2 linked regions of the Caenorhabditis elegans genome follow. The protein of the gene in region 2 interacts with the protein of the main gene of each other region in a pairwise test. Each region holds a gene or a part of one and is shown on either strand. Other genes may lie near its edges.

The links. Proteins that work in one complex are often made in the same cells at the same time.
Region 1: the proteins of syd-9 (region 2) and jip-1 interact in a two-hybrid assay, tested with the Caenorhabditis elegans proteins (one large-scale study listed by BioGRID).

What each region holds. Positions count from the first base shown.
Region 1 is NC_003280.10:1,325,103-1,328,855, forward strand, and holds the start of jip-1 (PID domain-containing protein), read left to right. Parts: upstream 1-1,892; 5' UTR 1,893-1,898; coding exon 1,899-1,994; intron 1,995-2,734; coding exon 2,735-2,947; intron 2,948-3,564; coding exon 3,565-3,725; intron 3,726-3,753.
Region 2 is NC_003284.9:7,216,482-7,220,234, reverse strand, and holds the start of syd-9 (Zinc finger protein syd-9), read right to left. Parts: upstream 1,966-3,753; 5' UTR 1,768-1,965; coding exon 1,630-1,767; intron 59-1,629; coding exon 8-58; intron 1-7. UniProt on the Caenorhabditis elegans protein: Plays a role in regulating synaptic function, probably by modulation of endocytosis. May be dispensable in muscle for normal locomotion. May be involved in post-transcriptional mRNA processing, in parallel with unc-75.

The sequences.
Region 1 (3,753 bases), on a different chromosome or scaffold from region 2:
TTTCGAGAATTTGAACAATTTTTCCCGCGTTTTCTGCACAATTTTGACGTTTTTGGGTTACTGTAGCGCCAAAAGTACGCAAACACCGAGTCTCTCACGCGAAAATGCACAGAATCTCAAAATCATCGGAAAAAACAGTCCCAGGGGTGAAATGAGGCGCTGAACTTGAATTTGACAGTTAAAATTATCAAAAAATACCTGAAAACATTGAAAATTCAATTTTTTTAGTTTTTTCTTTCAAAATTTCTTTTTCGGAAGATATATTCGCCTGGAAATAAATTATAGGGCTATATATTAAATTTCTAACATTTTTCTTATGTTTCCTGCTCAAATTTGTCTTTTGGGGGGTACTGTAGCCCCAAAAGTCCGCAAACACCGCACACCTTACGCGAAAATGCACAGAATCTCAAAATCCTCTGAAAAAAGTGTTCTAGGGGTGAAATGAGGTGCTGAGATCGAATTTCAATGTGAAAAATTATGAAAATCGTTGGATTTTGAGAAATTTTTTTGGTTTTTCGAAAAAAACCTGCACCTCCCCACCCCCCCCCCCCCCCCTCTTTCAGGGGGTACCCCTTAATCTATTCCCACTCATTACTACATCTTTTTTTTGCTCTCATTTTCTCTGCGTCTCTCACTTTCACATACTATCTCGTCGGGAGATTAGTGTGAAGAAGACGCTACCCTCAGAGAGCAGGAAATGCGCGGAATTTATTGGAAAATGTGTGTGCTCTCTCGATGAGGGAAATGGAGTGAAGAAAGGGGGGGGAGGAAATTGAGATAACATGTCAAAACTCGTGATATGATATAGCCAATAACATTGGTGAAAATTATAAGCCAGAAAAAAACATCGCAAAAAAAAATTTTTTTTAGCAATTTTTCCCGAAAATCTTTATTTATTCAATTTTCATCAATTTTTCATGCTAAAATTCGAACTCAGCACCTAATTTTACCCCTAATCCATCCTTTTCCGACAACTTTCGGTTTCTGTGCATTCTGTCGTAAGGTCCGGTGTTTGCGTACTTTTGGGGTTACCGTACCCCCGAAAAGTTGAGTTTTTGGCAAAATGTTTTTTTCTCGAAAATCTTTATTTTATCAAGATTTTTCCTGATTTTCATGTTAAAATTCAAACTCAGCACCTTATTTTATCCATACCACACCTGTTTCCGACATTTTTGAGATTCTGTGTTACCGTACCCCGCAAGACTTAAAAATTGAGCTAGAGACTCGGAAACAAGACTTTGGCTGGAAAATTTGACAAAAAATTCGTAGGGAACTTCAATTTTGATTTAAAAAAGTTTTTTTGGAATTTCGGGAAAAAAAAATTTTAGAAAATTTTTTTTCCAAACTTATTTTCTTTATTTTTCATTTTTCACTTTCTCAATTTTTCATCTAAAAATTCAAATTCAGGTCTTGATTTTACCCCTACCACGTCTTTTCCGGCAATTTTGAGTTTCTGTGCATTTTGTCGCAAGGTCCGGTGTTCGCGTACTTTTGAACCTACAGTACCCCCGCAATACTCGAAAATTGATCTAGAAACTCGGTAAAAAAGGCTTCGGCTGTAAAATTTGACGAAAAAATTGTTGAGAAGTTAAATTTTGGAAAAAAAAATTATTTTTGGAATTTCGGTGAAAAAAAATTTTTTTTTGGAATTTTTCAAGAACAAAAGTTTTGAAAATTTTCTGAATATTTTTTCCATGATCCCCTTTTTTGAGTTGTTTTTCAACGCAATTTTCTCTGCACTCTCTTCACTCTCTCATCCACTCCATTCATCATTTTTTCCAGCGCGCATGTCTGGAACAGAGATTCACTTTTATTTTTCCTTTTTTCTTTTTTTTTTTTTGCTCCAAAACTTCTTTTCCACTACTTGAAATTTTAAGTCTTAAAAATTTCAGCACAAAATGAGCGCATTTGAATGTCGAAAATGCGATGATTTTCCGATTGAGGAGAACACGGAGGACGAGGATGATGACGAGTGTCCGACGGTTATTCGGAGGGTAGGTTTTTTCAGGAAAACCGTTGATTTTTAAAGGTTTTAACTATAAAAATCAAATTCAGCAGCGTTTTTTTGCTCCTAAACCGGTTTTTTTGCAAAAAGCAACAAAAAAATTAAAAATTTTTTTTTTTTCAAAACTCGAAATTTTTCTCGAAAACCAGCAACTTTTAAAAATTTTCATATCAAAATTCAAATTCAGCGCCACTTTCTACCCCATTCCCAGCTTTTTCAGCCAATTTTAATTTTCTGTGCATTTTGTCGTAAGGTATGGTGCATCGATTTGTGTTTGCGTACTTTTGAGGCTACAGTAATTCCAAAAAACTTAAAATTGAGCCAGAAGTTTAGAGAAAAACTTATTAAGGGTGAAAAATTACGGAGAATCCGAATTTCTTAATAAAAATTGTGAAAAATTTCAAATTTCTACAAATTTTCCAGTAAAAAATTTTCTCGGCAAAAAAACGCAACTCATTTTTGGAATTTTTCACACCGAATTTCATTTTCAACACAATTTTTTACCCCTCAAACACCATTTTAAGTCAATTTCAAAGCATTCTGCATTTTGTCGTAAGGTGCAGTGTTTGCGTACTTCTGGAGCTACAGTAACCCAAAAAATTTCAAAAATGAGCTAGAAGCTCGAAAAAAAAAAGTTTCCAGGGTAAAAAATGTCGGGAACTCGATTTTCATATCGAAAAACCAAAAAGAAGCCTCTAAAACCTCCAAATTTCCTGAATTTTTTTCCAGTCCTACTCAGCCGACTGGCTGCACAACGACAATTCCTCTGGAGGTGATGACGATTCAGAAGAGGATTCTGACGCCGAATTTCTGGTTCATCCGTGTCTTCGGAGTATTATTAAATCGAAATCCGCTTACGCAGTTCCCCGTAACTCTGATGACGTTGCAGCGGCGGCAGCGATGAAAAATAACAGAATTAAGCCGAGCAAAACAAGCTTTGAGGTGAGCTGGATGAGGAGGTGGTGGTGAAGATGTAGTTTGTAGTCTTTGTAGTTTTTGTAGTTTGTAGTTTATAGTTTGTAGTCCGTCAGACCAATGTTTTTTAGTTTAAAATTGATTGAGTCTGCCATTTGCAGGTTCATAGTTTTGTGTGGTTAGATCTGTTATTTCGAAGTTGGTAATTTATAGTTTGTAGTTTATGGTTTGTAGTTTATAATTCGTAGTTTGTAGTTTGTAGTTTGTAGTCTGTAGTGTATAGTCCATCAGGCCAAAATTTGCAAGTTTAAAATTGATTGAGTCTGTCATATGTAGGTTAATAGTTTTGTTTGGCTAGATCTGCTATTTTGAAGTCAGAGATTTATAGTTGTAGTTTGTAGTTTGTAGTTTGTAGTTTGTAGTTTGTAGTTTCTAGTTTGTAGTTTGTAGTTTATAGTTTGTAGTTTATAACTTGTAGTTTGTAGTTTGTAGTTTGTAGTTTATAGTTTGTAGTCCGTCAGACCAATATTTGCCAGTTTCAAAATGATTTGATCTGCCAAATTTAAATTTTTTGTATATATTTTACAATTTATAGTTTATAGTTTGTAGTTTGTAGTCTAGCAGACCAGAACACCATTTTTCAGATTTCCTTATCAAAAATGATGGAATCAACGAGTAAAAGCATAGCGGAAGAAGCAGAATACTCAGTAGCCGACCTACTTCCGACACTTGATGAAAAATGGCCGGACCCTGAGGAAGAAAATGAAAATTTGAAGTCAAAGCGGCGGAAATCCAATATTATGAGGTGAAAATTCGAATTCTCCATCGTTTTT
Region 2 (3,753 bases):
TACTTACTCGATCCATTCCCACTGGTGCATCGGTTGACTTCAATGAGAGGAGTACAGACTGAAAATGGAAATGGAACGTGAGAAAGAGTAAGCGGCGAAAAAGACAAGATAGTTCAACTGGAAAAAAACTAGGCGGAATATATCGCTAGAGCGGAAAATACCCCGTGCACCGACAAAAAGGAACAAGTAGATGACAGAGCAGCGCGACAAGATGCCGGAGGAGGAGCGAGGGACAAAGTTTCCGATGGCAAAATAGTAAGCAATGTGGGCGAGACGGACGGAAAACGATGCGATTCACCAAAGCATCTGGCCCCTATCTTTCTCCCACAAAACACAAAACTACCATTGAACCATCTGGGTGAAAATGAAAATGCGACTGCGATCAGATTATATATCGGAAGATGCGATGTTGTACAGTAAATGGATGAGATGACATTTTCGCAAAGATCAGGAAAAAGAGTGAACCGGAAAACCCCGCTGGTCCAGAGGTCAGGTGCCTTGCTGCGCTGGTCGTCTTATTTTCGATGAGAGAAAACAGGCAAGTATGTAGGAGAGGAAAATGAGCACACACCTCGTAAACAACTAGGTCCCGCCAATTCTGGAAGCAGTTAGCGGTGCACACCACTACTCTATGATCGAATGTCAACAGAACCACTACAGAAAAATCTAAAAAGCTTAGTGTCTTGCTTATATGTATCTATGTAATATTCTTAAGATTTTATTGTTTTGGTAAAATGTATCGTAATTAAAAATATCTCATTATATCTCATACCGGCTTCTGATGTCTTAGTTCAATCAAGGGGTTCTTCAAAAGTACATTCTTGTGGCAAAGCAGCTGAATAAGATTAGAAAGCGAGATCGAGCATGAGCAAAGGTGTGGTTTCCGTTGTCAAGGTCTACGTCCTAACTATTTCCTTTTTCTGTGCAGTTCACACAAGTGATTAATCTGGTGCACTTTCTGATAGTAGGATCAAAACTAAATGAGCTACCAGTCTACATAATAACATACTTAAAATTCTAATCTTGTCAGATAAACCGTGGATGCAATGAATATTTGAAAGTATAAATCAAATATTTAAAACTTAAGGTCAAAAAAGAGTATAAAACTCAATAAAACACTGAAAGACGGTACTACAGAGTGCATTTGTTAGATTCTTATGATAATATCTTATCTACCAAAGCGAACTATGCGCGCCAACTGCTGCAGTGTAACTGTAGAACTGTCCAATCGCTAACGAAACATACCGCCTGGCCTCTCTACTGGGCGAAATACGGTATGGGTGGGCAACTGTTGTGCAGTATCGTATAGGCTCATAAACTTTTGTGTTGCACAATCGAATGGAATACACAATCGAATGGAATACGACAGATATGGTTTATGGAACAAAATACTCTCTGATCTTCTAATACAATTATAATATGACTCTCGCTACTGGGAAAACTACTCTAACTTGATGTTCTAGAATTGTACTTATATTCATCAAAGTGCGCTGCCTATCTGATGCGAGATTTTCATAATCGAAAAGTTAGCGCACAAAAATAGAAAATGAGCGAATTTGGCCTATTGGATCAGATAGCGACAAATAAGACAATAAAAACACATAAAAATGATGCAAAACTGTGACTCACTTTATCGGTATGAAACATTTGCTGATGTTGTTGCAAGAGTTTTGTACTTGAAAATGACTTCGGACACTGAGGACATGTCAGACTCTCTTCTGTCATCAGAATCGTTGCTTGTACTAGCGGTGATACGCACACAGACATCCAGGATGGTCAACGACTCTGTTTTCTTTAACGTCAGCTTTTCTTCAACCTGTGCCAACGTTGATGTTTTGTGAATAACGATTTAGTGAGTATGATTGGAGTGAAGAGAGGGACCCTGTCCACAAAATAGATGGGTGCCAGGAAAAGGTAAAACGTGCTCCTGGTAGAAGGAGACGATGAAAAGGACGGACGGAGGGGGGAGGAGAGTGCCGACCGATCGGACAGGACGGGCGCACAGAGAGAGGGGTGGGGCTCCGAGCTATTCCTAAGGGGTGGAGCGACAGAAAACGCCGGAGCCGGAGAGAGCTCAACTCGTGGACGTGGAGGGCACGGAGCTCTACAGTGAATAGAAGGGTGACCACGTCTTCTTTTCCAAACAGGGAAGGCGCTCCACGACGACGATGTGGACGATAGAAAACGAAAGACAGGCAGGGGACGTGGAGGCTCCGCCCTATTTTGCATAACGTTCTGGCTTGCTATGGGGTGCCTACTCAGTATCCCGAGACGAGTCTTGAAGCTCTCTCTGATTCATGCGGTCACTCGTCACTTGGCGGTCTGTCTACAGCTAGCTCGTTTCCTAGTCGGAATGGGAGTGTGGAGCGAGTGAATGTGTTGGTCGAGGAGAAGCAGCACCAGAGCTCAAGCCTTTTCCGCCGAGCACACTGTGCCAGCCGGATACGGCACAAAACTATTCATTATTCGGGATATTTCCTACAAATGAACATGGATACAGAACTAGATTTTTGCAAACGGGTTTCATTTTTGTATTTGAAGCTAGCTATCAAAACTAAATCCGTTTAATAAAATTACTTGATTCAATTTTCATGTTTCAGCTTGTCTCACAAACACATTATTACACTCTCAAACTTAATTTAATATAACTAATAAGAAACTATACTCAACAGCGTAAAACATCTGGGCGAAGAAATTGCTTTACAAAAAAACTCATAATATTTCATTTCTAGATTTCACAAGATCTGTCAGTAACAAAACGAAAAGAAAACCGACAAGAAGAGAGGAGGGGGAGTTTTGGCGCGGTAGATGAAGAAAACATGACGATGACAGTTGGCGAAAACAGGCGAGCAGGTAAATTGTACACAGTTGCCGTGCGCCGTAATCACCAAAAAAATCAATGAGCGGATAGAGAGGGAATAGACACAAGATAGTGAGCCTGTGCGGTTGAAAACTGACACCCATTAGAAAACCCGCAAAAACGGAAAGCTGTAACGGACGATACGAAAGATGTTGGAAAAATACAAAAAATCTGACTGGTGTATGTTGCAACATGTGGTTCGTGTTTACGCTTCTCAGTAAACCTGTGAAGAGGTCACCGGCCTTGACTGAACACTCGACCGTACGTACTTTTGTAAAATAATGCCGCTGTTTCAACAAAATTCACAATATAAAACTTTTATTTTTAATACTGAAAAAAATTCCCACCAAAAAAAAGATCAACTGCGTAGTCTATCTCATGACTGTCATGAGCATAGTGCATGCCGCGGCGCTTGTCACTAACCATTTCTGCTTCTACTTTTCATTTCCTTTCTCTTCTCCTCTTTCCACTCCCATTTTCACATTTCCAATTTGGAAACCAAACAGCGGTAAAATAAAACGTGTGCTAAGGGCTTCATCCTGTATGTCAGTTTGTCGTGTCCCTTCTTGCAACACTTATCCATCGCACCGTGTAGGCGGATCTGGACGTGACAAATTGGTGAGACCTGGTGAAGCTAGAAGAAGAAAAATATTCAAAGGGGAATGAAGAGACGAAAGAGCAGGCGAATTGTGGAGACATTCTGAAATACAGATAAACTATGTGTTTATGCTCTCTCTCCACTTTCTTTTTTCACTCGTTTTGCTTCTCTCGCTTGTTAGTCTCTGCTGTCCGGCAAGTCCGACGATAAACATGTTGTGATCTATCAGCTTCACTGATGAATTCACCAAATCTACAATTTGACCAAATAGGAAGTGGTCGATTTCAGTCAGAAA